Linked DNA regions of Drosophila melanogaster. The protein of the gene in region 1 interacts with the protein of each later gene in a pairwise test. Each region holds a gene or a part of one and is shown in the gene's direction. Other genes may lie near its edges.

Region 1 (8,417 bases):
AAATGCATAAATTATTACTTATTTCGCCTGTGGTGTGCGACCAAGATTTCCACTTCAGCTGGGTGGCGATTCAAGATTTCTGTGTGTTGCAATTTGATTATTTATTTCGTTAAATGTTTTTGAAAGGTTCATTTAAGTTTGAGGGGGCGTGATCTAATCAATTGGTATCGCAGGTGGTATTATTTCTCCCATGGTTTCCAAGTAATAAGTTGTATGAAGTAATACACAGTAGTGAAATATCGCTATATATTACCTATAGGATCTTAGAAGAAATTTTTAAACAAATGTATAGACCAGAAATATGATTATAGGCATATGATTATTTCGCCTTTAATCAGTATAATGGAATTTAATAGGCGCGATTTACAACGAAAATCAAATGAAAATGCTTTTGAAAAGTGATTCAAGTGCCAGAGCTGCAAATTGAAATATTTTATATGAGTTTCTTGGAAGTAAAATTAAAGAAAATATTATCTTCAGATCTTCTAGATATCCAAAAGATGCTTCAGAGATGTTTCTTTCCTTGGAAAAAATTCCTAAAAGCACACCGAACACAACCCACTACCAACCGCCACCCCACACTTAAATCGCTTTTATAGCTCCCATTTAATCTATCGCTCCCCATCATGTTTTTGGCATCATTAATCTGGTCATTAAGTCCCACGGAAATCGTAGACCCATAGATACAACAGATCCACTCCCTATATATTATACATAGATACATCCATGCCGGGCCTAATCGTTTGATGGACAGCGATGGACGGCGGACTCTTGTAAATGTAAAATCGTAAAAATCCAGTTGAGGCAGGCGGGCAAAAAGCGCCTAAAAACACTCATAAAACGGCTGATTGAAATGGCTTCATTCCGTAGACAACAATTTGTTGTCTCATCGCTGTTGTTGTTGTTTTGATAGATTTTTAATGTTTTCGGCCTAATAAGCAACAATTGGTTGCACTACCCAGCCCCACCTCTTCCCCATCCCGGCCCCCATCCCAATCAATGCACAGTTACAATTTCCGCTTTGGGGCAGCAAACAAACTTTCCCCCAGCCCCAAACCAATATGCATCTTATATTTTTCATTGCGGGCCGCGTTTATCAAAATTAATTGGAAATTTTCGTCGTTTTTTAACGACTTCTGGGTAAAAAGTCATTTGAGCGCAGAGAGGTGGGGTGGGGACTTCAAAAGCAAAAGGCCTGTTGCACATGCTACCTACCAATGGGACTGAAGATCTCTCATTGGGGGCTCATTTGGTTCTCCGGACCTGCCAGTTTTATGGCCTATAACACAATATAATTTCCTGTCAGTCAGCCGACGAATGCCAAAAACTACAATTCATAATTGCTTTGGAAATATGTTTATAAACGCGGCCCACTCGTCGACCATCATTGGGGGACAACTTCATTTGAATTTTACGACAAGCGTACAAATACTATAAAATATAAATATTTATGGCCAGCACTTACAACAAAGTTAATTTATTGAATAGTTTCACAATGTACACGACCCCATGCATATGATATTTATTTCAATTTCATTCGTTTACGACTTCCAAAAAACTAAAAAAATAAATTTGGATTCTTTTCGTCGAGCCGATCGTGAAAATATATATTTTTTAATGAGATCCAGCGCAGCTTCGATTGTGACGCAAGTTGAAAAATATATCTGCTTATCTAATTTATGTGCTGCCCATTATTTACTGAAAATATTTGGAAAATTTAGAGCGTCTTGTTGTTGGCATGTGAAAAAAAAAATAATCATCAATTGCTGAAAACCATTCTTAGCAATGAGATATTTGCTTTGTTCCTAGAAGTTAAACAAAAGCAGTGGGGATAATTAATAGGTGCTTAAATTGTTAATCTTTAATGATTATTGGTTCGATTTATTTATTCGATTTATTTAAAAGATTGATCCTTTTCGCTTCGAAAATATTTAAATTACAATTGAATTAAATAAATATACTTCATCAAATTGCCCCATTAATGTGTGCCCTGGAACTGCATCATATTTTGCGGAAATACGTTCGAGACAAGGCAATTATGTTTATCTCCTGTAGCCAAAATGACCCCCGTAACCTAATCAACTCCCTAATGCAAACACACACGCCACATAGGACCCGATTAAACTCGCCTAACCCTTCAAAAACTCATCAGCATTGCCCATGTGTGTGAAGATAGGGATTTGCCTGTGGAAAGCGGGGGAAAACTGGGCAAAAAGGCGGGGGCACTGGGGAGTGACGCAGAGCGAATCGAATACTGCCTCCTTGTCAATTACAGCGACAGTTGCCATGGCCGTCACTCCGTCATCGTCATCGTCATCGTCATCGTAGGGACAAATGTCAGGGAACCCTTTATATGGTCGGTCGGGTGGGTCAGTCACATATGAACAGGAACCGCGCCCACCGGATTGCTGGGCCGCCAGACATGTTCCACTCGTTTTTGGGTAATTACATTTGCAGCCCGTCTGTCCTGTCCGCCGACTTTTGTCAAATACAAAGCGGCAAAATGTTGTGCGAAATTCGGCAGAACAAAGTGCTGGGGTTGGGGTTCGGATGCGAAACCGGAGTAAACATAAATCAATATCATCGGCTACAGGGCGGACAGATTCCCGACATCAATCAGGGGCCCGCATCCGAAATGTAGGGAGCGCAGGAGACGCGCGGCGCGTCTCCTCCTGAAATTAAGACGATGGATCAATGTATGACGAAGGCACCACAAAGGAGGGTCCGACAAAGAGAGAGACAAGACCCAGACCGAAACCATTCTGTTAGAAGGAGGTTCCCTCCGCCGCCTTTGCGGAGCCCCTTCTCGATCCCCTCACCCTCCGTTCGATCGCGTGTTCTTCTTCAATTACAGCGCCATTATACCGAAAGCCGAAAACGTTTTACGGTGCGAAAGCCTGCGGACCCCGAGGGCAAAGTTAACCCCTTGAGAGCGGTACATATTTAGAAGTTCTACATAAGAATATTGGTCCTCCTAAACGTTCAAATATAATTAGGAACATATAATGCCTAATGGAACATCAAGATATAAGGAGGTTTTGTTAGTTTAATCTCTTCTTGAAATTTCATAATATCTTATAATCGACTAGGTACACAGTTGATGTTTCAGTTACTAGCTCTCTAGAAATTTAACACGATATTAGTTATTACTATATTATTTAACGTATTTAAGTAAATGTGAAGTATGCAAAAATATTATATTTTACCTCCATAAATACACTAATATTTTTCAGGTTGCCACATTGGGCCTCAGTGGGTTAAAGGCAAGCCGATCACCGCGGGTTCCTTCCACTTGCTTTCGATCGCCGGAGAAAGAAAGAGCTTTGTGTTTCTTCATATTTTTTTTTTTGCCTCTGCGGCGTAATTCAGGATTCTCCTTGCTCTGTTATTATCGGCGGGTTTGAGCTTGGGTTTGGGGTTACTTTTTGGTTGGTGGTTGGTTGGTTGGTAATTGCCCTGATGTTCAAGCTCAGCAGGCGGCTTCTTCTGCGTGGCGAAAATTGGGGCAGGGGCAGCGGTTGAGATCAAATTTAAAAACAATCAAATTTTTTTCTGCTGCGGCTATGCATAGAGGCAAATTAAAACCGGGTATTATCCAAACACGTGTATAATCAAAAACCGATGGTGGAGGCAGTAACTACCAGTCAAAATTCAGCTTGAAAGGTGTAAGCCAAAAGAAAGCTCTAAATTTGAGGCGTGGCATTCGCTGCAATCAAATATGTTGCTCTAATAATTGCTTCTTTGTATGCAATATTTAAGAACGTTCTGTTATAAATGGAAAAATCACTGAAAATATATCACTCGAATTTTTAGTATAGTTTAGCTTAGTAGCTATTAAAAGGAAAATACTCCATAAATGTGAATGTATAAATTTGAAACAAAACATATGGTATTTGCAGTGGTTAAAAAAAAATGTAAATAAAAATAAATAAATTTTATTAATTTTTTACTGGTAAAATTTGAATCGTTTTTTAGAAGATAAAGAAGAAAGAAAAATATTTGTTTATATCATTTCATATATGTTGCTTGTCATGAACCAGAGTTCCATCATACCCTTTTCGAATAGAAAAAGAGATAACACGCCTTTACAAATTTCGAGTTCGAAATTGAGAGAACGTGTTCGAAAGAGAAAGAGCGGCGCTCGAAGATGAGTTTCGAACAACGGGCAATGTTTCGATTCTCGAACGACTCGCATTCAGATTGTTTTCGTCCGTTGATTCGAAAAGACGTGTGAACTGAGACTCGGAGATACAGCGGAAAGGATCTAGAAGATACGCGTAGTTTGGCCCACCAAAACAACTACTGACCGAACGGATTGTTGTGGCCCAGTGAAGTTATCGTTGAAATTGGAAATTGATCAAATGAATAAATGTATCCGCGAGATACGCCCAGTGAAGTTTTAATTTTCTAGCCGGAGAGAAAAATCAAGTGTGAAAAGCAAAAAGGAAAAACGAAAAACGAAAAACCGCCCCCACAACAATAACAAAAACAACCGGTACGCCACCCCCCGAAAAATTGACGTCGCCGTCGCCCTCGTCGCAATCGTTTGGAAATAAATCGTGTTTTTGCATTTGTTGTTTTTTGTTGTTTATACGCCAAGTTATTTACGTCGTCGCAAAGCAAAAAGAAAAAATTGAATAAATAACAACAAAACGGCTGGCGAAAAACAAATCGAGTCGGCGAAAATGTTTTACAATTAAAATTACGCGCGCAGCGGGCACAAAGGTACCAATATACACGAGTGCGAGCGCGAGTACGAGTATCTGCAAGATACACACACGTAGATCAAATAAAGCAGCGCAATATGCGCAAATTAAACTAAAATGCAGCACATCAGAGCTGTAAAAACTTTTACGACAGCGACTACGACTGGTAACTTGCCACCCGCACAGTCGAAAATAATACCAGATACAAATTAAGGTCGCCCAGCGGCAGCGCATAAACACGGTGGAACGGGAAGTGGCTGTGGAAGTGGAAGCGGAGGATTCTCTCGCCTCCTACCTGGAGTATATTAGTCTCAGTCCTTAGATCCTTACACAAAAGGATAGCCAGCCAGGGAGCGCAGAACGCACACACAAGGGCCGTAAAACATTTTGGGCTGCTGCTATACTGCAGGTCTCCTCCTCTCAGGACTCGTAAATTTCCAGCCCAACCACCACCACCGCCGCCCGAAAAACGGAAAATAGAAACACCGAAAAATCCAAGACACCGCCAAGTAACTGCATCCTCAACCCGCTTATATATAGAACTATATAGGTACATATATCCGGGCAGCGATGGCGGGTAACATTGTCAAATGGTGGAAGCATAAAATTCTCGGCGGCTACAAACAATTCTCAGGTAAGCGAAAGCCAAGCGTTCTCAACTTGTTTAGTGAATTTCCAGATAGTTGGCAGCAGATATGGAAAAGATGGATGTTAATGCTCTCGTGGGGAGAGACAGCTGGGCGATAGCATTCAGGGAAACAATTTGTTGGCCACAGTCAAGTAAATTAAATTGAAATATTGAGTGAGTCAGGGATTCGCAGGAAGATATCTTATAAATATGAAGAAAGTCGCTTAGGAATATATAATTATTGATTTATAATTGCATTTACTATTGAAATAATGATCCATTCCTATATCCACCTACCTGACACTAAAACCACTAACCCATGCAGAATGTTTTCCTTATTCATTTTTCCGTGGCCTCTTATCGAAGGCCATTCCCATTAACATACGACTATCTGGGCCGAAGATCTAAAATATTACCTTCTCCCAAACAATTGTTCACTCACCCGCACACAGATATGTATGTATTTGTGTGTATGTGTGTATTCGAATTCATTGAGTCAAGGGCTTCTCCCACATCCTTTTCCAATAATTACGGCGAACAACTAAAAGTTGAAAATAAAATGTAGGCAATCGCCCGGCTGCATTTTTATCTGGAAGATACACAGCCGTTCGTTCGCTTGTGGTCTTTGGAAATGGAAATGAAAATGGGTAGGAGAATGCCGGAGCAGCGACACACAAAAATAGAACGGAAAATCGGGCATGGTGCTGAAGAAGAAAAACACAACGGCAGGGCAGATCAAAAGGAAAGCGACCCATGGAAAATAAATAGAATTTTTTTTGGAAGCAGATCGAAGAGGCGAAGGGATCGGGATAGGGATAGGGATCGCGATCGCGATCAATAGAACGTTTCGCTTTGGCTCCTGCTGCTGCTTAGAGATCGGCTCCTTAGTCATGGGTAGCATATCATGGACGTAAATAAACAAGGTCCGTGTTTCCAAAGTGGGATCCGATCCGAATTGGAAATGGACGACCGAATCGGACGACCTTTCTGCCAAACGAGCAACGTTGATGTCCGAATCGCTGAAGTAACATCAATCAATCAATGTTCCCTGGGTTCCTTTTTTCTGTCCACAAATTCATTGGAAATATTCTGGGGCCCCCATCCACCTCTTTACTTTTCTGGAGTCTTTTTTTTCATTGGTTTGTTTTGTTTCGCTTTGAAGCCCCAGAGAGAGATTTCCTCCTCATCGGCATCGGCTGGCAATTGGTCTGCGCCAATTAAATGCCAGGCCAACACTTTGAACCCTTTGCAGGACGACAAGCCCCGTACACTAATTGCTGGCAGATGCAGGGGGAATTCAAAGGAAACCTCCAAAGGCACACCGAAGCATGCAACTTCAAAGAAAGCAGCCTCGAAAACACTACACAACAACAAACGGGAAGAGAGTCGTACAAAAAATGAAAATCAAGCGAATTGAAATGCCGACGCCGTTTAAAAACAACGTACGAACATTTCTTACCTGTTGCAGGTAAAACCGAAGGCAAGTCGATGCCGCGATGGAGGTGGAGTTGGCCCGTTGCTTATGGATGCACTGGGAAAAAATTCCATTGTTTTGTGACACTTTAATCCTAAGACATTACATTAATAATGGGCAAAATTATAAAAGAATAGTGAAATTTAGTAAAATATTATATTAACATAAATCCAAAATGTTAAAAGTGATTACGCAGATAGTAAAATATCACATGAATAATTAGATTTGCCACGATATATTTGTTGTTGAATGTTAAAATTATAAAAGGCCAAATAATTATTTCCTGTGTAGAAAGCAGCAGCTGCTGCGAGGCCAAGATACCGATGCCGACTCATACACAAAAACCTTTTAAAACCCTCACGTTGATAAAACAACAACAATAACATCGGACATCAGCGGCAGCAAGTCGTCGAGCCGCCGCCGCAAGCAAAAATAATAATAACTGAGCCACTCCATCCATCTGCAGCCCCAACTCCGACCAAAACTGAGAAACTCCCCAACTCCATCTCGAAGATACATCCACATCCACATCCACATCCAACCAGTTCCGCGGCCAGGCCAACTATGCCAAACATCTCAGCAGCGGCTACACAAAAGCGGTTTAGAGACCAACCGACGATCGACAGACGGACAGATGGACGGACCGACTTTCAGACAAACGGACGCACAGACGGACGGGCCGAGGAACGGCGATCCAGCGATCCAGCGAGCGTACTCTGCTTGTATCTTTGAGATACACACCGCGCCGATGCTGCGACTGCCAAGCTGCGCTTTGCGCTCTGTTCAAAAGATGCGCTTTTTGCTTTGAGGCGCGGCACCAGAGGCCGTCGTGCACAGTGGTTAAAAATCGTGTGTTTGAATGGGGATTATCGTGGGCACTGACGGGCGGGGATGATATGAAACCCAAACCTGAGAGGCTATTGATGTTCGAAAGATTTTAAGCAGATTAAATAGGATTTAATAGACACGTTGTATAGATGCATTTAAGCCATACTTACAGGTGGGATCCGCATATTTTGTAGATCATATGTGGCATCCTTAATTATTATACTTATTGTAACTAAAAAGGTTTTCATTTAAGTATACTTATATTTATGTCTTTTGATCATGCATATAACATTTATTTGTGCTTACCATACTTAATTGTATATTTGGTAATGCACTTGTGACCACTGTTTCTTCTGCGGGTTTTACAACGCTCGCCTTGGCTTTTCTTCGATACCGTGCTGTTGCTGTTATTATTATGGCTGTGGTTGTTGTGAATTACGGTAGAAGGCAACAGGCGAATCGCGTCGGCATTGCCTTCATGACAGGCTGAAAGCAACGTGGCTCGAACCGCACCGGGCTCAAATCGCAGCCCCGAGGTCCGGGAAGCGGGCACCAGCTCTAGCTGCCACTACCAACTTTGACTTGGCACTTTTTGGCTGATCCGCAGAACTCGAGAATCGGAGGGGAATGGAACTGGCTATGGCTATGGGTTGGGGCATGGTTATGGGTATGGGTATGGGTATGGGGATGGCCAGGGAGCAATAGCCTGGTATAAGCAATTTTCGTAATATTAGCCAGGAAGTTGCCGCTCTGCCTTTCGATATGCCAGCGACCCTATATG
Region 2 (8,814 bases), about 11 Mb from region 1:
AATGGGCATGGAAATGGGGATGTGGATGTGGATGTGGATGTGGTTGCCCGTGACTGGACCCCTTCCCTCCTGCGCAATCCACTTCATGCTCTCAAAAAATATTCATATTTGTCACGAAGCCAAATACCCGAACAAGTTACACCTGAAGAGAATACTATATCCTGAACTATAATGAATTGAGTGATGAATAAGAGGTTTAGAGTGATAATGAAGATTGGAAGGACTGAAGCTTTAGTATGTAAGTTAATGCAATAATCTATGTATGTATTTGTACAATAATATAAACAAAAAGTGGGATGTTCTACAACTTATGCAGTTTGTCGCTCAATAGAAAGGATACGTACAAATGGTCAACGCTTCATCACTGATTGGCGACTAGAAGGAGGAGGAGGCGGTTTTAGTTCCATTTTCTGTCAGTGTAGAGCCTATTCGGGGGCTGTCATGTGGCCAAGCCCAGTTCCTGGACCCATCGGCCAGGGAATGGGGCCAACCTAATGGGGGACGCTGTCCGGGCAGCTGCGTGCGATTCTGCGAAAGCCGAAAAATTATAATAACCAGTTTGGGCTGCTATTTCTTTATTTTTTACTTTGTGTGTGTGTTTTTTTTTTTTGGTTTGCCAAAACCTTCGTTCAATGACCCTGGGCAGGAATAGGGTCCCAAGATGGGCAGAGAACCATGCAAGGGCAATAACTCTCCGTTTTTTTATTTTTTTTTATTTCTTGCAAATTCTGCGGCGAAAGTTGATCGGGCGAAAAGAGATGGAGAGCGATTCCCGTGCCGAAATCCCGAAAAAAGGCAGAAAAGAAATGCACATTTAGATTATACGAGATATTGGCCAGAAGTGGGTACGAAAGGTATGCATACCTTTCCTTTGGCACATGGCCCCAAAACTGCAATAAACTAGTGGCCCAAAACGAACAAACAAACAGCAGCAGAATAATGCTTTATTCCCCCTCTCTTCAATTTTGTATTTAAAAAAAAAAAAACATTTTTTTTTTTTGGTTGTGTGTATGCCTTCTGTTGGACAAAAATTCCGAAAAGCAAATCCATTTTGTTCCGACTTTCATTTTGGAGCAGCGGCAAGCGCTGCACACAGTTTGAAGACAATTGTATAAATGAAAGTTTAAGATCTCCGGCGGCAACTGAACATTGCGGGCATTTTGGGCACCTGTGTGTGCATGTGTGTTTGTAGGGCAGTGTACATGCGATGGGCCGGGGGGGCGGTGGGCGTGGCGGCAGCGACAGGTACACCGGCACTCAAGATCGATAGCAGTCCAATAAAAAAAAAGGAGTATAAAAAAATAAAAATCCAAAAAGACCCGGCACGTGTTCCCCCAAGAGCAAAGCAAAAGCACTTTTCAATTGTTCACCACTTGTCGATGATCGTGGCGATGATAATGATGCCAACACCGATATTGCTGCTGCAGTTGCTGCTGCTGCTGCTGCTGCTGCGGCTGCTGTTGCTGCTGCTACTTCCACTGATGATGATGAACATTTCTCCAGTGCAGTGTCTTCAACTTTGCTACGATTTCGATTTACTTTTGCTTTTCATTGTTCCTAATGCGATGATGATGGCCACTGGCTGCCGGCTGTTTGTCGAGACATTAATAACAATTTCATGGTTTTCAACACAAAATGCACACCCATCGGAAACTTTTCCGATTTTCAATAGTTTCTATTGAATTTACACAACAATTTTGCAGTGTTTTTTGGGTTTGCTAAGAGGATTACCAAATGGTATCAGTTAAAAGCGTTACGGTTTCTTCTTGGAACCGATACTTTTAATTTGAATGGTTTTAAATAAAAGTTTGATATTTTTGAAATAAAAAATACATTTCTACTTAATGAATGCTAATAATAATGTATGGTTTTATATGATTTATATATATGTTATATTAACTAACCTATATAAATCTAATGAACTATTTATTTAAATTTCTCATCCCTACATCCAAGATATGCCGAAATCTTAAAAACTTTCTTTAGTGCAGCCCAATTTCTTTGTATAAGTTTTAAGAAGCAAATTTTAAGGGTTCAATCCTCTCGCATTTCCTCGATCTTGATCGATTGATTCCATTGACTTCGATTCCATTGCCCCCGGCCGAAAGTGAGAAATCAGAATTAAGCAAGTAACCGTGGACAATCAGCGTCAATTATGGCTATGTTCCTTAACTATATACATATATGTTCATATATGGCCATTATATGCGATTTCGATTCGGGACAATCAACTCTTTTTTCGCTGAGGAGGGTGCTCCGCTTCCGGTGCTTGAAATAAATCTTCAAATTAAGATGCTGTCTTCCAGAAAATGCTCGAAAATCGAAGCAACTTTTTGTAGTTTTCGCCGAGAATGAGCGAAACAAAGCGGGCAGATATAAAATTGAATGTGAAATCAAAAACGATCAAAAGCGCTTTGAAGTGACCACTTGGCACAATATGCGATGTCTACACCCGACTTGAGTTCAGTCGGTTCTTGGTGAATGCGTGGGTGGGTTAAAAAGTTCTATATTATCAGTATTTTATCAGTTTAAAATTGTCTTTTTATCATTAATTTTATTATTTATGCGACAGAACTAATTTTTGCAGCAAAACTTGAATTTAGTACGGGCAAATCGAACAAAAACTTCCAGTGCCACCCTCTTGATAATCTGAAAATCTGACAGCGAAAAACAGTTTGTTTAAAATGAACTCAAATGCGAAAATTACACCCCAAGCGACCAATTTAAAACCATTAAATTATAATTTTAAATTTTAAAGAGCTCGAACGACTTGAAGGGAGGGCAGCCGTGGCATTATTCAATTAGGGAAGACGCATTTGTATAGTTTTTGGACTCCCAGCCAAATGGAGTGCGTTGGATCCGACCACGATCATCCCCATCCCCATCCCCATTCTCCACCTCCACTTTTCACTCGGAAGATTATTCTTAACGTTTCGCAAGTCGATTTCAGTTGCTTCACTTGCCTCATTGCGATTGCAACACGGGTTCAACTTCAAGTGACGGAAGTGGGAAAACGAAAATCAACTACAGTTGAGCCTCTCTACCGTGTACTTTCCTCAAACGTAATATTCAATCATATCGAACATTTTAAAACTGGTGCCTTACTAAGATTGAACAGGAAATCTTATAGAATCTTAAAGATTTATTGTACTAATTTTTTTGATAAAAGCTTTTAAGATTCTTCAATTTAAACATAAATATAATAAGCATTTTTCAGTAGTATGCTGCAACATGTTTATATAATGTTAATTTTTTATTAGCCCTCAAAATTGGCTATTTAAATGTATATGTATATATAGGCCTATTAGGCCCATTCGATCTATAGATGTGGCACTGTAAGATAAAGCGGTTAATTTCGAAATGAATGCAGTTGCCGGGCAGCAAAAAGTGGCGATTTCGGCGTGTAGGTGTACAAACGCTTCGCCGTTTATCTCTATTAATCTGTGCGTTCGCACTCGCTCGCACCTGACACTCATAATTAAAGAAACAAATAAAGCAGCGCACTGGCTGCTGTTGCGCCTGCGCAGCGGTCACATTTGCATAGCAGCAGCAGCAACATCACTCGCAACAGCGGCAACACAGCAGCAGCAGCAACACAGCAGCAGCAGCAGCAGCAGCACAACAGCAGCAACAGCAACCATGTGAATCCAAGAGTTCGGCACTTGTCGTGTCTTCAAAAGCTTTGCTGCCTTGACTTTGACTTTGGCCAAAAGCTCGCTTTTCAGCCAAGAGTTCGCCGCGTGTTGCTGTTGTTGCTGCTGTTGTTGCTGCTGCTGTTGCTGTTGCTGGTGCTGCTGCTGCGGATGTTGCTGCCGCTGCGCGACTGCGAGCGCGCGGCTGCTTGTCTTGGTTCTTTAAGTCCGTGGCTGGCTGGCTCCTCTTCAGTTCGTTGCTGACCATCGTTACGTGCGGACGTGCCCAGCTCAGCTCATCTTCGTGTGATGTGGCTGCACTTTGCACACTAAACTTAAGATCTGAGCCCAAAACGTTTTCCAAGCTGCAAAAATATAACAAAAGTGCCGCGACGCGTGTGACAAACGAAAATCGAGTAAAACGGTAGCTAAAACAATGATTCTATGAATATGAAATAAGAGAGCGCACAAAAATATGGAAGGAAATAATAATACTGATAATAATAATAATAATGATCGAGGGATATTTTTTGGAATTGGACTAAGGCGCGGCCATCGGGCCAACTGAGTGTAATTTCAGTCAGTTTCTTGCGCACAGACACACTCGCCAGGAAAACAAACAAACAAACCAACTAAGCAACCAACCAACCAACCAACCGACCAACCAACAAACAAACAAACAGCGAGCGTCCAGATAGACAAACATACATGGGAAGGCAGTCAAGTGAAGACAGTGCAGAGTTCTCCTGTCCAGTTTGCTGCAGATGCGGTTGGAGATGCAGTGGCAGTGGCATCAGCAACAGCACCAGCACCAGAACACACAGCGCACAGAACCCAGCCGAACCAAAACCAAACCGAACCGAACAGATGCAGATGCACCCAAAGCCAGTCCAGCATCAGCTCGGATCTGGCTTTAACTTTGGCTTGGGCTCCAACTTCAGCTCCAGCTCCATCTCCAGCTCCACTGGCACATGTGCTGGCGGTGGAGTCGCCATATTGGGTGCATAACGGTGCTAGAATCGCGCTGCTTTTTGCTTTTGCTGCCTTGTGTCTGAGTGTCTGAGTGTCTCTCGGCCAGCTTCTTAGCCAGGCTGTTGCATTTGGCTCTCGGTGCACCGCATCCCAACCCATCTTATGCCATCGCATCGCATCGCATCGCATTGATGACGACCCAGCGACCGATAGACCAAGCGCAAAAACCGCAAACTAAAAATGCTGATCCCCTTTGCCAGCGACCCGCTCTTTTGCGGTCGCCAGCCCAACACTTTGCACATGCTGATCGATTGCGGAAGATCTCCGCCATCTCCAGTTCCATTTGCATCGTCCATCTGCATCTCTGTATATGTATCAGCTACTCCAAGGCTGACTGGGTCACCAAATTGAGTCGGCCAGTTGTCCAGACACTCCCACCAACTGGCCCCTTTGACCAAATGCCAAATATTAGTAATAATATTCTCGTCAGGTTTTTGCTTGGTTAACCAATTATTCTTTATTCTGAAGTAGAAAAGTATATGGTCATAACTATTGGTTAAATATGTCGAACTTCCCTTTTTTCTTCCAAAAAAGTTTCAAAAGACTTAACGTAGCCTAATGCCTCATTTTATCCTTATCTGTGCATTTAAAATTAAATCAAGGGACACCCATTTTCTTTCTTCTAAATTCTATACAAATTTCAATTAAATATTCAGCTTCCAAAGATAGCACATACGTTTTTCTCTGTGCAGCGACTAGTTCTCAGGCCATCTCACCTTAGACCAATTTAAATCGAACTCTTAGGCCCTGCCTCATTGTCAGCTCCGTTTTCCCTTCCTTTTTTCCCATTTTTTTTATTAAGTTATAAAACTGCTGGAGTTAGTAGATGTTTTATATCGGCACAGAGCTCAGTTTTTTTTTTTTTTTGTGATGTTCTTCTCAGCCGCCTAACGGTAATGCCCTAGAGCGCCACATTCTCAGACCCAGTCTTCCAGTCTCGAACTCTTCGGCCCAGACTCATGCATTGCAATAAAATGAAATTTTATAACAGCGTCAGCGGCAGCAGCACCGAACAGATACAACGACGGCAACAAAAACGTTACCCAAATTCCAAAAAAAAATATATAAAAAACCTGAACGAGAGAGAGGGAGACAGGCAAAGGTCGTCACAGCAAGTGAAAATAGCAAAGCCAAGAAACAAAACCAAAAAACAAAAAAAAAAACTAAAGACGGCGGTCGAGATAAATAAACGAAATAAGTTTTAGGGCCTAGTGGCCCAAACAAGAGCTAGGTGGTTCAGGTGTTAATTTCCCATTTTCGGGTTTTCTTCGGCTGCCGCGCAAGTTCGCTGCCTAAGTCTTTCGTTTTAAAGTGGAGCGACACCGCGCGCACCGCTCGAATGCCCATTGAATGCGAATGAGGGGCGTGTGAGCCGCAAGCCGGCCGGTTCAACTGCAAAATAATAAAACAGAAATTATTATTATTATTATTTCCCTCATTTTTGTGTGTTGCTTGTTAGTGGGGCGCATTTCCTTTACCCGAAAAGAAAAAAAAAATGAAAGAAATGAAATAAAGGAGAAGAAACCTTTTCGTTCCGTTTTTGACCCTCAAAGTTCAGAGTTTAAGTCAAGCCTCCCCTCACCACCACCACACTGACTCCTTTCCACAGCGAAAAACATATATTTACGACTGCAACGAGAGGAATACCAGCTACAGGAAAATAACCCAAGAAAAGCGGCTGAAAAATCGAAAAAACCAAAAGAAAACACACAAAAGGAGGGAAAAGCGAGAAAAGCCTTCCCAGGGAGATCCAAAGCAGCTTCTTTGGAGATTCAGAAGCGGCAATGACGGCGACTGCGAGGCAGTCGGCAACATCGAGAAAGCAACCTGCGATCGCAATGCTCAATGGAAACGCTTTTACGGTTAAGCGGCTCTTAGCGGTAAGTCAACTCATCTAAGGCCAAAAAAGGCAAAAACAAAAAAAAAAAAAAAAAGAACTAACGACAAAAAATCAAACTGCACTCCCCCACATAAAAATCATCATTTGGGGCGTTGCCAATTCAAATTGCTCCACAAAAAGCAGCCAAAGCAAATGTTTGTCACCTGGTCAGTTCCGAGCACCATTGTTAAGCACTTTTTCGCTTTCTTAAACAAAAGATTCATTTTTTTGGCACAATTTTCGACTCTTTCATCGCGTGGGCTCACTTCAATCGTGGGCCGCTGCTCTGCAAGATAGTTTTTCTCCTTCTCGTGTGTAAAGAGCTGTGAAGTCGGCCATTGGGTCAAATTGTTGCTGATAGATGGCTAGGCAGGCGTCGAAGATCATGATGATGTCGGTTGTGTTCGGTTGGGGGTCGCCACTTCACCGACTGAGTAATGTGGGCAAATTAATCTAATAAAAGGTGGGAGTCTTCGTTGCCTCTGCTCCACTGGACCGAACTTCATTCCAAGAGAAAACAAAAAAAAAAAAAACTCAAAGCTCGAGAGTGGGCATTAAGTTTAGTGAATTATTTGCTTCATAAAATTTCATTGCCCGGCACTTAATCATTATTACTGCGGGAAGAGTCATTATGGGTGTACTATGGGAACTAGTTTGTCTATTAATAAACGATTCTATTGAATTTGCTGGCTATTTTGGGATTCCAAGAAAAGTGCAGACTTAATGCAAAGTTAGTTAACTTCAAGTAAGTTATTGTTAATGATTTTCGCGGTTAACAATCTCATCAATTTAAATGTTCTTCTAAATATCGTACGTTTCTTTGTGCCAATTTATTTATCAGGACTGGCATTTGCATATAAAAAATGTGAAATTCAATTTGCAATCAATTTTTTTTTTTGTAATTGAATAAGAGTTTCCCATGCGATGCACAATCTATTCATGGTGCTAAATCAATGGAATCTGTTTGTTAGAAAGCAATCGGCCAAGGGCTTCTCAACTCCAGTACTTGAGAGAAAATTTCCTTCCAGCAGTTATTTTTTTTTTTTTTTCACTCCAGCCAAGACTAACAAACAATTTATCCGTTTCGATGTTGTTTGTTATTATGGTCCGCTGCTGCCCTCGGCCGGCCCATTCAACCCATTTCGAGCCAAGTGCATTAAGTCTTGGCCAGAAGAGCCAGTGAAGCCAGTAGATGGCCAGAAGGCCCAGTAGTTGGCCAGCAAGGCAGCAAGAGCCGCTGCATCTGGGCGCTCCACCTGCATTCGGACCGGCCAAAGGTCACCAGACGGTCTGGCGCCCGACGATCATTAAAAGAGTACGAAAGTAATTTGTAAAACACGAAAACTTATCTACTTCTTTTTTTTTTCGCTGCTGCTGAGCCGAGCTTTTCTTGCTGTTCTTTTACGATTCTAAATTACAATGACTGCAGAAACCGAAAAAAAAAATATGCCACTGCAACGGGTCTTCATTAGCACAGACTGGTCGTAAACCCAAAATAAAAAAAAAACATTTTCACAAAAAAATAGGCAGCAAAATAAATAAGCCAAGTCAGTTCGCCGCAGGTGATAAATGGGGTTTTGGCAGCTTGGGTCTTAAAGACCGGACCTTTTGGCCAGGAAGACGAATGGCCTGGCGAAGGATTACAAATGGTGAGGTGGACATGGGTTGACGGTTATTAGCAATCCGCCTGCAGATCTTTGTTTACGCGCTTTTCATTTTGGCAAGATGACAATGCTGTGGCCAATAACGAAAGTAACCCCCGAGTTATTGGGTCAAAACGAAACAACAAACTCGGACACAATGGTCAACACATTCTCTTTATTCTATTTAGTGCCAGTGCCAGTGCCTCGTGCTCGAAAGCCTCTCGAAAGCGTAATTAAACAATTTCTTCTCTGTTTATTGACATTTTATTGATGCCGCCGAGCTTGAGCGGTTTCATTTCTGGTTGTTCTGCGGTTGTTTGCGATACCAATTCCAATTCCAATTCCTATTCGGATACAGATACTTTTCCCCCATTCGGTGTCTTGTTTGTATTGTTGCTCCCATTGAGCGATACTCCTCGGATTTTCAATGGATCTTGTGGAGTGCCTGCGAGTGTTGTTTTGAATAGAGGAGCACCGAATGAGTGGCGAAATGATCTCGAGACTCGAGGAAAACACCTCTCAATGGGGATTATGTGGTGTAGTTTATTTATTTATTGTTATTGAAAGAAACCAAGGAGTAGTGCTAATGGTTTAGTATTCAATAAACCCAATTTGATGATCATAACAG
Region 3 (7,311 bases), on another chromosome or scaffold:
GTGCGAGGATGTTGAAGGCGCGCGTCCTTCGGCTTATGTGCAGCGCACTTTGTCACTCTTATTTCTGTGTAAAGCTGCCAAAACAAGGATGCGGCACCACAAAAAAAAAAAAAAAAAACCCAAAACAGGACAGAAAAGAAAAAAAATTCGTACAGGATCGCGGTCGTTCGTTTCCGGAGTAAATGTAAAATTTAACTTCGAAGTAAACACTTTACGTTGTTTCGTCCTTTTTGGTAGCCGCTTGTCCTTTTTGTTTTTTTTTTTTTTTAGCCGCTCTATCCTGCCACTCGCGTCGGCAGTCCGCCTGCCTTTGTAACGCGCTCGGCGTTGGAATCGCGCTTTTATAGACCGCCGGCCAGCCGGAGATTTTCCCACAAATTTCCCATAATTTTCTCACGCTTTTCCGACAATTTCCCAAAAAAAGAGAAAATGGCCAACGGTAACGTTGGGCATTGCAATGAATTGACGAGAGGGCAAAGTTGCGGCGCCGCTCTCTTCGCTTTTGCCAGCTGGAAATTTCAAAAGGAATTTCGTTATTTATTGTGCAAGACGAAAGACAAACAAAAGTCAATGCTTTTGTTCAGGTCGCCGACAATACAGGCAGAGATTCTTTAATTAATTCGGATTGTCCGCTCACGAATTTCAAATGACTTTGACCCAATTTAATTTGTAATTTGTATGATATGTGCAAATACGAAATGAAAACGAAGAAATCAACAACAGGTTATTCAAAAAACTGCGAATAAGAAGTGCCCAAAGATATGCTGGGAATTTGTGAAGCATACTTTTGAACACCTCTTTAAATATGTATCTTATGTTTTTAACTAACATTTTATTGTTTGAACAACATAATCACTTAACTTACTAATTTATGCAACTTGGTGATTAAAATGCATAGCATACACTTGATTTATGGCATTTTTGTGAAACACATTTTCCTTTTTAATTGTTAGCATTCCATTAACTTAAGTCATCTATCTGCAAATGTGCCAGCCTTGTAGTGCTTGTAGTGCCAATTTCTATGCTGAATGCAATCAATTTTAAATATAAAGACCAAATGCAGAAACAACAGCATCTGGCTAATCAATGAGGTCACACAGGTTGCACATCGCACATCGCACATTGCACATTGCACATTGCACTTTCCACTCGTTGCGAAAATTTTACAAATTTAATTGCCTTTGTCGATGGAACGCAGCCGTATGGGAAATGCATTTGGGACGACGAGTGCCGCATTTCCGGGAACAAAAATAGAAATAGAAATAGAAATATAAATATAGATAGAGATAGAAACGAAAATGGGTTGTCAAGCTAAAACAATAGGATATTTGTGCAATTTATTTGCACTATTATTATTTCGCACAAAACAGTGCCACACGATGGCAGTGACATGTCTGTTTTGGATTGCATGTACATATGTATTGTATTGTATATATACTCCAAAAAGTCCAGTATTTAAATTGCCCACATGGGGTCATCCGAATCCGTTTGGTTAGACAAACCAATTCAATTTCCCTAATCCTTGTTCAGCTTTTTGGCAAATATGTACATATGTGCATATCGAATTGTTATTAGATTGCCAGTTAGTTTTGAATGTTAGTTTCTTTCTTAAATTGTAGCCAATAATAGCCAATAATTCGACGGGTTTACTACTAGTTTTAGTTAATATTCTTGATTTATTTTAATGTAGTTAATAAATGGTAAATGAACATAGAAAAACATAGAAGGCGCGTATAGAACGATGTTGAAGGACGTCGAAAGTACTGAAAGAACGTAGAAGAATGTAGAAATTATGTAGAGAAACGTAGAGCAACTTAAACGGATGTATAAAATGTGTAGGACTTTGGTGAATCTCAATGAATGTGAAATTTAGTCAAAGACCTAGACGCTTCACTTGAATATATATATAAATGCTAATTAGTATATAAATGTGTATATATAAATGTAACCATTTCGTAATATCTTGACCGTTTAGACGGAAGGACAAAAGGACAATACGACGGTTACGAACAAACATGGCTAGACAGTAAAATCTGATGGGCAGGCCATGAAAAAGTGCCGAAAAATTTTCAAATCATGTAGGCCATGAAATGAATTTTCATTTGTGTCATAACTTTAGACTGGACAAAACCTTAGTCCAATGTGAGCATTTGATATGTGAACATAACACACAAATAATATATACCCCGATTGTTAAACAATTTGTACATACAATTTCGTAAAAACAAAGCAACAGAACTACACATTTCCAATATACATTTTCAAAATATTTTGGTAAAACGAAAAGGTCAACTTTGTATTCACTTTGGCTTACGCGCGCTGCATGATATTTTACATTTTTCCAAAATTTTCCAAAAGCAACTTTCTTGCGAAAAAACTAATCGAACAAGGCAAACCATACGTGCTCCTGTACAACTTTCTTTGGGTAAGTGATTGTTGAATGACCAAGTAAGACATCGCTAATGTATTTTTAAGTAGCTTGTAGACACATAGAGAATTCGCTTGCGATGGCTACTTCGAGGGCCCACAATGTGACCGTCACGCATAATTCGTTGGTTCAGTGGTCCCGTGGCGATATTCTCGATTGGTTCAACGAGACGCTCCAATGCAACCTAATCAATATCGAACAGTTGTGCACCGGTGCAGCCTATTGTAATTTGATGCATATGCTTTATCCCAAACTGATCAATTTGAAGCGAGTTAAGTTTTTTTCGAATCAAGAATACGAGTACGTTAACAATTTCAAGGAACTTCAAAAAGCCTTCAATAAGGTAAATGTAAGCCTACCAGCTGAGGTCAATGATTTGATCAAGGGCCACAGGGTAGAAAATTTTAAATTTGCCGTGTGGTTCCGACACTTTTTCAATGTCAATCACACTAAGGATAAATGCGCTGGCTACGATGCACTGGTAGCTCGTGACCATCAGAACATCGGTATCGGATCCTCAAAATTGACAACCAAAGATCGTTTTCGCTTGGTGAAGGTGAAGACGACAGCTATACGAGGTAAAGTTGCGACTTGCCAGGCGACGATTAACAGTAGCCTTTGCACGGGCAAAGCTAACCAGGACGAGGATAGCCAGCACACGGATAAAAAGGACGAGGATAGCCGTGACCAGGGTAGCCAGTACGAGGATAGCCCCGGCATGGATAGCCAGTACAAGGATTGCCGTGACCAGGATAGCCAGTACGAGGATAGCCACGGCAAGGATAGCCAGTACAAGGATTGCCGTGACCAGGGTAGCCAGTACGAGGATAGCCACGGCATGGATAGCCAGTACGAGGATAGCCGTGACCAGGATAGCCAGTACGAGGATAGCCCCGGCATGGATAGCCAGTACAAGGATAGCCGTGACCAGGATAGCCAGTACGAGGATAGCCACGGCAAGGATAGCCAGTACAAGGATTGCCGTGACCAGGGTAGCCAGTACGAGGATAGCCACGGCATGGATAGCCAGTACAAGGATAGCCGTGACCAGGGTTGCCAGTACGAGGATAGCCACGGCAAGGATAGCGAAGACGAGGATAGCCAGTACGAGGATAGCCAGGACATTCACATGGTGCTCCAAAGAGACCACTGATATCGTGACGTCGTCGGTTTTTAATTCCTGGCCAAGCTCATTGTCAACTCAAAACTCTCAAAAGAACTAGTCAAAGCACACGGTAGCCTCGAAGGAGTAAGGATGTGAAGACGAAGGCTGCCTGCTTTTCAAAATTAACAGTTTTGAACTCTTTAAACCAAATTCACATTTTCTCCACTGCTTTTGTATTTCATGGTTTGGAAATTGAAAATTAAAATGTTGACCCAAAACATGCGTCTTATTTAATGGTTCCCTTAATGTCCGCTAGGTGGAGTCAATGCTTTTCACACAGGTTTTATATTAAATAATAATACTAAATAATAATAATAATATTAAAAATATTAACGCTACGAGTGTTAGAACTAGTATTTTATTTAACTAACGACGAACTAAATTAAATAATATACTAATTCTAAATAATGGTTCTGATGCCAGCTAAATAACTTAAAACCTACGTATGTATGTACATATATCACGCAAAGCTTTGGTCGGAAAAGCTCCTGCTCCATATGACATTGGCAGTATCAAAAGTCGGTAGATATAATATAAAAAACGGGTAATCGCATCGTTCCCCCCCAGTTGTTTGCCAAGCGTGAACGCAGGCGGAGATTAGTGAACGGAAGATGGCACTCAAGTTTGCAGCGAATCTGAACTTTTTGTTCACGGAAAGAGCGACGTCGATCGCGGAGCGAATTCGTCTGGCCCACCAGAACGGATTCCGTGCGGTAGAGATCCCCTATCCCGAAGGCGAGACGAGCGACGTGGTGTCCGCCGTAAAGGAGACGGGTGTGGTGGTCAGTCTGGTGAATCTGGCCTTCGACAAGAGCGACGATCAGCTGCGTTTCGGCTCCACCAGTGTGCCCGGCTCGGAAAAGCTGTTCCGTAGCCAATTGGATGCCACCATTGATTTCGCCCGACAGGTTAACTGTGGCAAGATTCATCTAACCGCTGGACTCTTCAAGGGCGGCCAGGAGAGTGACTACACGAAGACGTATACCGCCAATCTAAAGATCGCCGCCGATAGCCTTAGAGCCAGTAAAATGATCGGCGTGATAGAGCCAATTAACAAGTACGCCGTGCCTGGCTACTACATGAATTCATACTCCAAAGCCGCTGGAATTCTGGCCGATGTGGCTGCGGACAACATTCAATTGCTGGCCGATCTGTATCACCTGCAGCATTTGCACGGCAACGTTTCCAAGACGCTCGAGGAGTACAAGGCGCTGATTGGACACTTTCAGATCGCCCAGGTGCCGCATCGCCACGAGCCGGATGTTTCCGGTGAGCTGGACTACGGATTTGTGTTCAAGGCTCTCCAGGAATTCGGCTATGATGGATGGATCGGTTGCGAGTACAAGCCGAAGACGACCACTGTCGAGGGTTTGGGTTGGGTCTCCAAATTGGGCTACACGCTATAATTATCACATCACATATAGTTTGGCATAAGGAACTGCTCTGCATTTATACACATGTATTTACACTGCTTACAAACATAAAGATGGTTTAACCAAAATACTTAATTCTATTACATATTTCTCTCGTTTTCGAGGCATTTTCATGGCTTTTTAAAGCTTCAATTGGTTGGTTCAATTCAATCAATTGGTTGGTTTTGGTTTAAAATGGTCGTTTTATAAAATCGATTACAATATAAAATCCTTTTTTTTCCCTTTTTTTTTGGAATTGTCATGCGTCTGTCAAAAGGTCATGGAATTGACCTACAGCAAGTGTGGAATAAAACAGTAGCTACGATTAGATAAGATTAGATAACAGGCAGATTCACGTATCTCATAAGGCGTCACTCTCGCTCCGAATCACCCGCTTGGCATATTCGGCTATGTGGAGCACCCCGTGCTCCGGTGAGGCGATGTGCAGGTTGCCTCCATTGCAGAATTTCGTGTTTATGTACGGATTGTGCAGCTCGGCCACCAACGTGGAGCAGGCCGTCGAGGAGTCACCTGTGGACTGCAGCATTTTCTAAAACGAATGAAGTTTATAATATGTGAAATTAGAAAGAAGAAAATGTTAAGATCAAAGGAAGAACTACAACTACTTTAATGTCAAGTTACTTTCCATTGGTTTAATGATCACTAAATTGAATTATCTTTATAATTGCACTTAACACAATTATAAACACTTACTAAGCTGATAATGCATGCCCTCATTAAATTGATAATGTTCTTATTATTTAATATAAAGGGCATTAGTGGAAAACTAGAACACACAGTTGGCCAAACCACAGAATATAAATATATTGTTTCACCACTTAATATCAACATTTGTGGCTAGGAGGGCACTGTCAATCTATGTACTTACCATCCAGAATTCATTACCCGGCAGGGCGTTTCCATCCCAAGCGTAAGAGACTACCAGCAGCATTCCGGCGTGCTCAGGATCACTCAATTTTCGTGCTGGATTGCGCTTGGAAATGAGCACCCTGATGCCATCCTTTGGATGCCCGGGAATCTCTATCAGCGATCCGTTGCTTAGACCGCCGCAATGTGTGATCGAAAACCAGGAGAAGTGCACGAGGCCAACGTTATTGAGCCTGTTGCCCAGCGTGCGCATACGCTGCTCGAAGGTCTCCATGAAGATGCGCTCCTGCTGTTCTGCTGCCTTCCACACGCCCAAGCCGAAGCCCACCACATGGATGTACGCCAGCTTTTTCACGCGTTTTGCCCTTGCCTCTGCCTCCAGCAGCAGCATGTCGAAGCTGATGGCGTAACGCCGCTTCATCACCAGATTGTCGAACACGTCCATCTTGTTTTTCGATGGTCCGAAACGCTGATTGTCAATGACTGCCTGGCCGTGGATGAGATCCCGTGTGGCATAGAACTCGCGCCACAGTCGTCGATAGTCCTCATCACGCGTGGTAGCCGGCTCATCCAATGCCATTCCGTAGCCCCTTTCACGCGTATTCTGCTGACGTGCGATTACAATGTCCTGGAACTCCATTAGATTACGTCGCGACAGACGGGCTCCAATCATGCCCACAATAACCCCGTGACGTTCCAAAGTTTTCGTGTTCAGATCAACGTGACCGCAATTGGTTCGTTCGCCCTCATTGACAAACTCCGTGCGGGAGCTCACGGAAAGCAGAGCGGAGAGCTTGATATCGTCATAGCTGAGCACGTTGGCCAGCACCAGAGGCGCCTTCTCCTCCCGAGTACCCACGGCTTCGAAGCCACTGGCCCCGGACTCTCCGCTCACCAGCAGGTACTTGTCGTTCCGCGCAAAGAAGCTGGCGCAACGCTTTACCAGCAGACGTTGCACAAATCCGCATAGCGATAAATTCCGGTAGATGGGCTTTTCCACCGCGTTGCCTGTGGTGAAATGCGGCAAGTCGATCAGTTGAGAAGGCTATTTAGGCAAGAGAATTGCTTACCCCAACGACACTTGTGCTCCAAGTACTGCAAGTAGAGGCCCAATGTACGTTCGTGTATCAATGGATAGGCGGATGCCACTTCCTCATTTATCCGGGCAAGCCGCGATGGAGATTGCCGGTATACTTTGACACTGTTCACGCCGAACTACAAGAAGAAGAAAGTGGAAGGGTAAGTCGACGTTGGCTGGGGGGTCACCCAAGTGTAATACCTCCAGCGGAAACTCCGCGGACAATTTAATCACATTGCCCAAATTTTCGTATCCTCCGATTGGTTTCTGCACTTGGCGGCAATCCTTCAGCAATTTGCGTCCGAAATTAGTGAGATGCGGGGAATCACCGGTGACCGCT
Region 4 (7,689 bases), on another chromosome or scaffold:
CATTCAGTTAATTAGTTTCACCTGCGTATGAGATCACGACTGTTTTCGTCAAGCGGCAAGCCCATTTGGCCCTTCCTTGCAACTGGGTCACAGCCAAAAAAAAAGAAATCAGTTTTTATTGAGAACTCAGTATGGGATGGAATCATATAAGATTTTTAAATTATGTCGGCAAGCACATTAGTTCCAATTTGTAAAGGCTTGGGAGCCAGTCAGGAGTACGTCATACGTACTTCGAAATGATACCTATTTGAAATGAAAGTGATGGGCCACAGCATGTTCGGAATAATATTCCGAAGCCGGCCATAAGTTGGACCAGCTTGAATTGGTTGGATAAAGGCAGTTACCCATTTTCCAGTGCCAAAATCATACAAACGGATTCTTGGACAAACCGCGCGCATGGGTAACATTTAAACATTCAAATGTGTATCCAATTATTCAAATCCAATCCAAATGCCAATGAAGTTGGGGATAATTTAACGGAGATAAATTAACCAAATTTTGTAGGTACCATCAATTTAATTTGATCATATTATACAGTGTTATGAATTTATTTTTTCAAGAACACACAGCTTGGTAAAAAGCTAGTGGCTTATCTAATATAAAACCGACCTCAGTTCCGATGATTGTTTTCAAAGCAGTAGATAAGACAAATCAACGACCAATTTAACGAAATGAACTCAGCAAAATAATAGCTTTGAAAGTTGTTAATGTCTATATAATCAGCCTTCAATTGAAATCATTTAGGCTAGTCTGAATTTTACTTTATACTAGAGTAACCTACTATTCTGGGCGATGTTATTACATATTGCTGATAAAACATCATTTAATTTTTGGGGCACACTTACTTGTAAGTCAATACGATCTGCGCAATTTCTCACGATCCCAGTGCGATGATTGAATAAAAGCGCTTCGAACGACAAGCATGCAGAGCTCTGCCTCAGACACTAAACGAAAGCCAAAGCTCGTCTTCGCTTTTATAATATTTTTCTTAAGCCCGAAACGCGCGCGCGTCCGGCCGAGATCGCTCTCTGGGGTTGCTGGGACGATTGATAAGCAAAGCTTCGTGCGATAAGCAGCAAACTGAACTTAAAACAGAGTGAAAATAAATTTAAAAGTTCCCAGAAAAGTATGTATGTATACTAATCTATTTATTACTATTTTAATTTGGTGGTGGTAGTGGTTTAGTAATCCGCAGCGGTGTTAGATAGGTAGTCGCGACGTCCTATGTTTGAAGCTTGCTTGTTCTGAACAGCCTCAAGTTTTGGGCACTCCGTGATGCGATGGCCCAGACCACCACAGTAGGTGCAGCCATGCGAGTCACCCAGGTCCAGGTGCTGGTGTTCGGTCTCAGGTGCCAGTTCGTCCAAGAAGTCCGGGACCTCTTGCTTGCCCTCGATTAGCAGGTGCTTCAGGTCGAGCAGAACCGACTGCTCGGTAGTCTTGTTTATCAGCGTCGTAGCCAATCCCTTAGTGTTGGAACGACCTGTGCGGCCAATACGATGCACATAGTTTTCAATATCGTCCGGCATGTCGTAGTTAATAACGTGTTGCACGTTAGGGAAGTCCAGGCCCTTCGATGCCACGTCGGTGGCCACCAGCACATCTTTTTTGCCCACGCGGTAAGCATCGACTGCCCGCGATCGTTCTTCCTGATCCTTTCCGCCGTGAATAGCCACCGCCTCCACGCCTTTCAACAGCAGATACTCATGTATGCAGTCTACATCCTGCTTCTTCTCAGCAAAAATGAGCACGGGCGGCGCGGTCTTCTGTAGGCAGTCCAGCAAATATACCACCTTTGCCTCTTGCTTAACGTACTCAACCTGTTGGGTGACGTTCATTGACGCAGCACCTGCGCGACCCACATTTATTGTGACAGGCTTCACGAGAGCTGATCGAGCAAAGTTCTGGATCTTTTTTGGCATGGTGGCAGAGAATAAAAGTGTCTGTCGCTGGCCTTTGAAGAAAGAGAATATCGTACGAACGTCCTCTTCAAATCCCATGTCAATCATGCGGTCAGCCTCGTCCATGCACAAGTACCGGCACATGTCCAGCGTAAGGATCTTCTTGTCCAGCATATCCATTAGACGACCAGGGGTCGCCACCACAATATGTACGCCGCGTGAGATGACGTCAAGGGCCTCGCTGACCGGCAAACCACCCATGGCCAGGCAGGAACGAATCTCAGGCATTCCGCATGCCTGGAGGTGCTTGCTGTAGTGTTGAATTATCTCGTGTGTTTGCTTGGCCAGTTCGCGGGACGGGCAAATGATCAGGCCGTAGGGGCCCTCGTTACGCTCAAAAGGCAGACTATACTCCTGTTCCAGGGCAAACATGATGACTGGCAGCACGAAGACAAGCGTTTTTCCAGACCCAGTGAAGGCTATTCCAATTAGGTCGCGGCCGGCTAGTACAGTGGGCAGGCCTTGCACTTGGATTGGGGTCGGGTTCTTAATGCCTTTGGCCGCTAAGCCGTTAAGTATACCTTTAGGGAACTTCATTTCCCGGAAGCTGCGAATTGGCGGGCTGGGGGTTTCTCCCTCCACTAGGATCCTCAACTCGTGGCGAACGGCCTCGCGCTCTTCCTCCGACATTTCCCGAATGTAACGCGGCGGTTTCCAAGCTGTTTTAATAGGCTGCTCGTACTGAATCCCCTTCGCCAACTCTGCCACACCCATAAGGGCCTTCTGCTGAGCAATGCTCTCCATAATCTTTTCCTCCTCTCGCAGCTGCTTTTCGACGGCACTCAACTTTTTGGCCTCGGCAATTTTCTTCAGTTCTGTGTGCTGGTCCAGCAGACTAATGTTGTACTTGCGTCCCCAGGTCTCGACATCGTGCGCACCCTGCGAGTCGTCTTCATTCTCATTCTCGCTTGACGACTTGGGCTGGGCCGTTTCCGAAACCAGTTGCACGATCCTGCCCAGCTTTATCATGTGCTGCTTCTTCCGCTCCTTCACCGGTACGTATGGCACGTAGTCCTCGTTGTCCAGGTCGCCTTCCTCCGAGGACTTAGACGACCTCCGATACCGCTTTACGTGCGCCATAGCATTCGATCTATATTTCTGATTTTTGTTTGTTTCGTTTTCGCCTAATTTGACTACAACAAAGGCCACCGTACGACGTTTTAAATTAGGCGAGCCCGAAAAATACTATATTCTAATGGGTATCGATTACAGTTATTAAACAGTGATTCCACTGACAGCTTCTTGCTTATGATATATTCATGGCATGCAGACCGGATAATAGTTTTTTTTTCAATTTGGGCAAAATCTTTCGATTTCGTTTTTAGGTGCTCTGGTTTTCTGAGTTTGAGATTGAGTCTTTCTTTTTTTGTGAAAACCAAGCAACGTGAAAAATGCAACTTTTAGCGCGAAGGTTGCCATACTGTTGGTGAAATATAACAGGCAGGTAAAAATACTTAGTAAATATATTTAAAGCAGGGCCAAAAGTGCTGTTCGTAAATAATGATAATTAATTGAATAACATAAGTGGTCAGAGCGCAGTGAATACGTAACTGCGAACATCGGAATTAAAAGTGCCAAAAACTCTGTGTAAATCGCCCAGAAACATTTTATATGAACTTATGCGTGCTATCAAAAGTGTTTCAGGAACATTTCTGTTAAACGGTTAGCGAACATGAATAGTACAGAATAGTAGAATATCGTATTGATCGGTTTCGGATCAGTCGAATGCAATATATTTTTGTGTGCATTTGGGTATAGATATATATTCTAAGCAGTGTGAATATGCTATTAAATTCAATAAATTATATCGATTGCTGACTTTGAACTAACTGTCTGCTTCTGGCTCAACTTATCGATATTGGTATATCACTCGCGACACACCACCATTTTCGACAAGTAGAAAGCGAATGAGCATTGTCTAAATTTAGCTCGGATTTTAAGTGCAAGGTACATAAGTGCCGCTGCTATGTCTATGTCAAAAACGACTAACACCTATAACCGGCAGAACTGGGAAGATGCTGAATTCCCAATTCTGTGCCAAACTTGCCTTGGCGACAATCCGTACGTGCGGATGATTAAAGAGCGGTTCGGCAAGGAATGCAAGATATGCACGCGTCCATTCACAATATTTCGATGGTGTCCTGGTGCTCGTATGCGCTTCAAAAAGACGGAGATATGTCAAACGTGTGCGCGCCTGAAGAACGTGTGTCAGACCTGCCTCTTGGACCTGGAGTACGGACTGCCGATTCAAGTACGAGATGCGGCGCTCAAAGTGGCTGACAATATGCCACAAAGCGACGTTAACAAGGAATACTACATCCAAAACATAGACGCCCAGCTGCAGGACGGAGATGGCACGGAGGCGGCAGGAGCTGTCGGTCGATCCCTCGCCGCCAACGAGATGTTGTCCAAGCTTGCGCGCACAGCACCCTATTACAAAAGAAATCGGCCGCACATCTGCTCCTTTTGGGTTAAGGGCGAGTGCAAGCGTGGAGAGGAGTGCCCATACCGCCACGACAAGCCCAACGAGCCGGACGATCCGCTATGTGAGCAAAACATCAAGGACAGGTACTACGGACGCAACGATCCTGTGGCCGAGAAGATCATGAAGCGTGCAGCCTCGCTTCCCACACTCGAGCCGCCGGAGGACCGCAACATCACAACTCTCTATGTGGGGAACCTTCCTGAAGAAATCACGGAACCCGAGCTGCGAGATCAGTTCTACCAGTTCGGCGAAATTCGATCAATTGCGCTGGTGCCACGCCAGCAGTGCGCTTTTGTGCAATACACCAAAAGAAACGCTGCCGAGCTGGCTGCTGAGCGGACCTTTAATAAACTGGTGATCCAGGGCCGGAAGGTGAGCATTAAGTGGGCTCACTCTCAGGCAAAGCAGGGCACCGCTGCAAAGACAGACAGACGCTTCGACTTGGCCGGCATTCCACCGCCTAGCGCGAAGCCCAACGACTACTTCAATCTTCGCCAAGAGCAAATCAATGTCATGCCCGCCGGCATGAAGCTGCATCAGTTGCCATCAAATCTAGTTCCGGCGTCGGCTTACCAAATGTATGGTCAGCCTACTTATGCAGCTCCCTACGGAAACGCCACTTCCACAGCCCTTTCTTCCTCGGGTGTCAATTTGGATTCCATATCGATTCCTCCGCCACCGGGTCAAGTACCGTATCCAAGTCAGGACGCCAGTCGGATGGGAGCTGTTAAAAAGTAGGAAAACCCTGTGGTCTACAATGGTTCCAATTCAATAAATCATTTTTATAAAATTAAATACAAACTTTTTAAAGTGGTCAGTTCCATAAAAATGACTTAATATTAATAGAATTTATCCGTATGGACGAAATTGTTTTCGATTCGAATTGTTAAGAAAAAACACCAAACAATTAGAGAGGAGAAGATAATAATAAATGATTTAAACTCTAAAAAAAAAAAGAAAAAAAGAACAAATTTTCGTCACAAAAGCTTATATCAAAACTTTTGTACATATGTATGTTGATGTGCGTTCGTCACTCGTTTTTACCTTTAATAAATGCTTTTCTTTGATTTGGACGATATTTGGGATTAAAAAAAGTACACCAATGCACATGTACATATGTAAGTTCATTCTTCAGTATTTATAGGGGAACTTAACATTGGGATTATGACTACCTCCCTGCATTCCATTCATTCAGATTTCATCAGCTCATTACTGATCATTAAAAATCTCGATCAAATTAATCACAGGTTAATTTGTATTAAAAAAAAAAACCATGACCTGAACCTATGTTCTAGGAAATCATCGCATAGCGCAAAATCAAAATCACGCATAAGCGCTATAAATGATAGCTCAATTCATCTCTCTACACCTCTTTTTATTCACTTAATCCTCTATCAATTTTAATGAAAAAGTGAAATTTCAGTCATTTATTAATAAAAATGTATTTTCTTAATTAGACTTATTTAAATTATGCATAGGATTTAAATTTAAGAATACAAATACATATATATGTATGTGAAATTCCAGAGTCTTTGGCGTCCTGTCCTACGGAGTTAGGACCAGCTTCTTTTCAGTTCACATGTCCGATTTACCTTAAGGTAAAATAATGTATAATTATGTATACAAAAACGAGTTAAACCAATTTACCTTAAATTATCGTTTCTGTGAGTAGTGTTTGTTGCTTATTGTAAAATAAATCCATTACCTGTAATTATTATTGAATTAAATTCCAAAATATTTACAATTTTTTTTTAAAACAAGCACTCAAAATCGCGTCTACTTCTCACAAAAGTCTATAGGCAAGTGATCTGCAAACATGTTCTATGTACATTACAAATTTAAAATTTAAATTTAAATTTGCAATTAAATAAAAAATCGCATACTGAGACCTTCGGTTAGAAATTAAAAAGCGATGAATTTGTTTTCAAAATCATCGCTTATTCCTCGTTATGATTAAGAACATTAGCATCGCTTTAAAATTTTAAGAGAGAGATGATGTAATATTTTTTAATAGCGATGAATTGTGGGACTACAGGGTAGGTAAAGGTTACATATGTACAGGTGCGAGCAGTGCAAATATGTTTATTCTAATGAAATCTTAGACTAACTGTAAATTATATAATGGCTATATTTCTTTTACCCGTCACTCTTACTCTTCTTTACTTCCAGAAAGGGGGTTTTGTCTTAGCTAAACATATGATTAATGTATTCTATGTTTTTTCAATATTCATTCCAATATACAATTTTACAATTAATGGTTTTGCAACAGCTATTTTGAAGTTAATTATTGCTTGTTTTGTAGTTTTTACCGATAAATCACACGTGTGCAAGCGATCGCTTATTAAAACAGTAATAAGTAATAATATTTAAAGTAACGACCAAACGATTGGGAATAATCTTTCCAGCGATTTAAACCTTGAAATAAAAAGTAAGTGTCATCCCCGTATGATTATGCGCACATTCGCAGGGCGACGCGTGCACCTAGGCGAGAGTTTTAAAACTTGTTCAGCGGATCTTGATCATTACATTCTCAAGTCTGTCGTACAGCACGTTTAAGCCCGCTGATAGTAAATCAGAGCAATGGCAACCGTGTTTCTTGGAACTGTCGTGCACACCAAGTCGTTCAGCGAGTTTGAGTCCTTTGAAGGAGGATTCCTGGCAGTGGACGACGCTGGCAAGGTAGGCAATTTAATGCCCAGAACAAAACAATGAGCAATGAACAATTTCGCTCACAGATAATAGGAGTGGGACAAGACTACCATGCGTGGGCAAGCAGCAATCCGGCCCACGCCAAGGGTCTGACCGAGGTTCACCTGTCGGACTACCAGTTCCTCATGCCGGGCTTCGTCGACTGCCACATACACGCCCCGCAGTTTGCGCAACTGGGACTGGGACTAGACATGCCTCTTCTGGACTGGTTGAACACATACACTTTCCCGCTGGAGGCGAAGTTTTCCAACCACCAATACGCCCAGCAGGTCTACCAGGGTGTGGTCGTAAGTAGTACTTGGGAGCACACAAACGTCTTATCGATGGGTCGCACCGGCCGTCTATTTTTATTAGCTGATAATGATAATATTACACCCCAGGAAGCAACACTGCGGTGCGGAACCACTCTGGCGTCCTATTTCGCCACCAACCATCTGGAGTCAACGCTGACCTTGGCGCGGGAGGCGGTGCGTCAAGGCCAGCGGGCACTGATAGGCAAGGTCTGCTCCAACTGCAACAGCCCCGAGTTTTACG

What was found.
Region 2: the proteins of nkd (region 1) and ImpE1 interact in a two-hybrid assay, tested with the Drosophila melanogaster proteins (one large-scale study listed by BioGRID).
Region 3: the proteins of nkd (region 1) and Gip interact in a two-hybrid assay, tested with the Drosophila melanogaster proteins (one large-scale study listed by BioGRID).
Region 4: the proteins of nkd (region 1) and CG14641 interact in a two-hybrid assay, tested with the Drosophila melanogaster proteins (one large-scale study listed by BioGRID).

The regions. Positions count from the first base shown.
Region 1 is NT_037436.4:19,041,227-19,049,643, reverse strand, and holds the start of nkd (naked cuticle), read left to right. Parts: upstream 1-4,194; 5' UTR 4,195-5,276; coding exon 5,277-5,340; intron 5,341-8,417. UniProt on the Drosophila melanogaster protein: Cell autonomous antagonist of the canonical Wnt signaling pathway. May activate a second Wnt signaling pathway that controls planar cell polarity. Required for neuroblast specification.
Region 2 is NT_037436.4:8,368,528-8,377,341, forward strand, and holds the start of ImpE1 (Ecdysone-inducible gene E1), read left to right. Parts: upstream 1-3,877; 5' UTR 3,878-4,056; intron 4,057-6,217; exon of another isoform or gene 6,218-6,273; 5' UTR 6,274-6,448; coding exon 6,449-6,544; intron 6,545-8,814.
Region 3 is NC_004354.4:10,326,656-10,333,966, reverse strand, and holds Gip (GIP-like), read left to right. Parts: upstream 1-4,094; 5' UTR 4,095-4,204; coding exon 4,205-4,999; 3' UTR 5,000-5,090; downstream 5,091-7,311. Other genes in the region: CG15306 (uncharacterized protein), read left to right, coding at 2,508-3,581; CG2909 (uncharacterized protein), read right to left, coding at 5,367-5,555, 5,895-6,901, 6,964-7,108, 7,173-7,311. UniProt on the Drosophila melanogaster protein: Catalyzes the reversible isomerization between hydroxypyruvate and 2-hydroxy-3-oxopropanoate (also termed tartronate semialdehyde).
Region 4 is NT_033777.3:4,228,481-4,236,169, reverse strand, and holds CG14641 (uncharacterized protein), read left to right. Parts: upstream 1-3,827; 5' UTR 3,828-3,927; coding exon 3,928-5,184; 3' UTR 5,185-5,391; downstream 5,392-7,689. Other genes in the region: abs (abstrakt), read right to left, coding at 1,182-3,041; DhpD (dihydropterin deaminase), read left to right, coding at 7,027-7,125, 7,182-7,442, 7,536-7,689.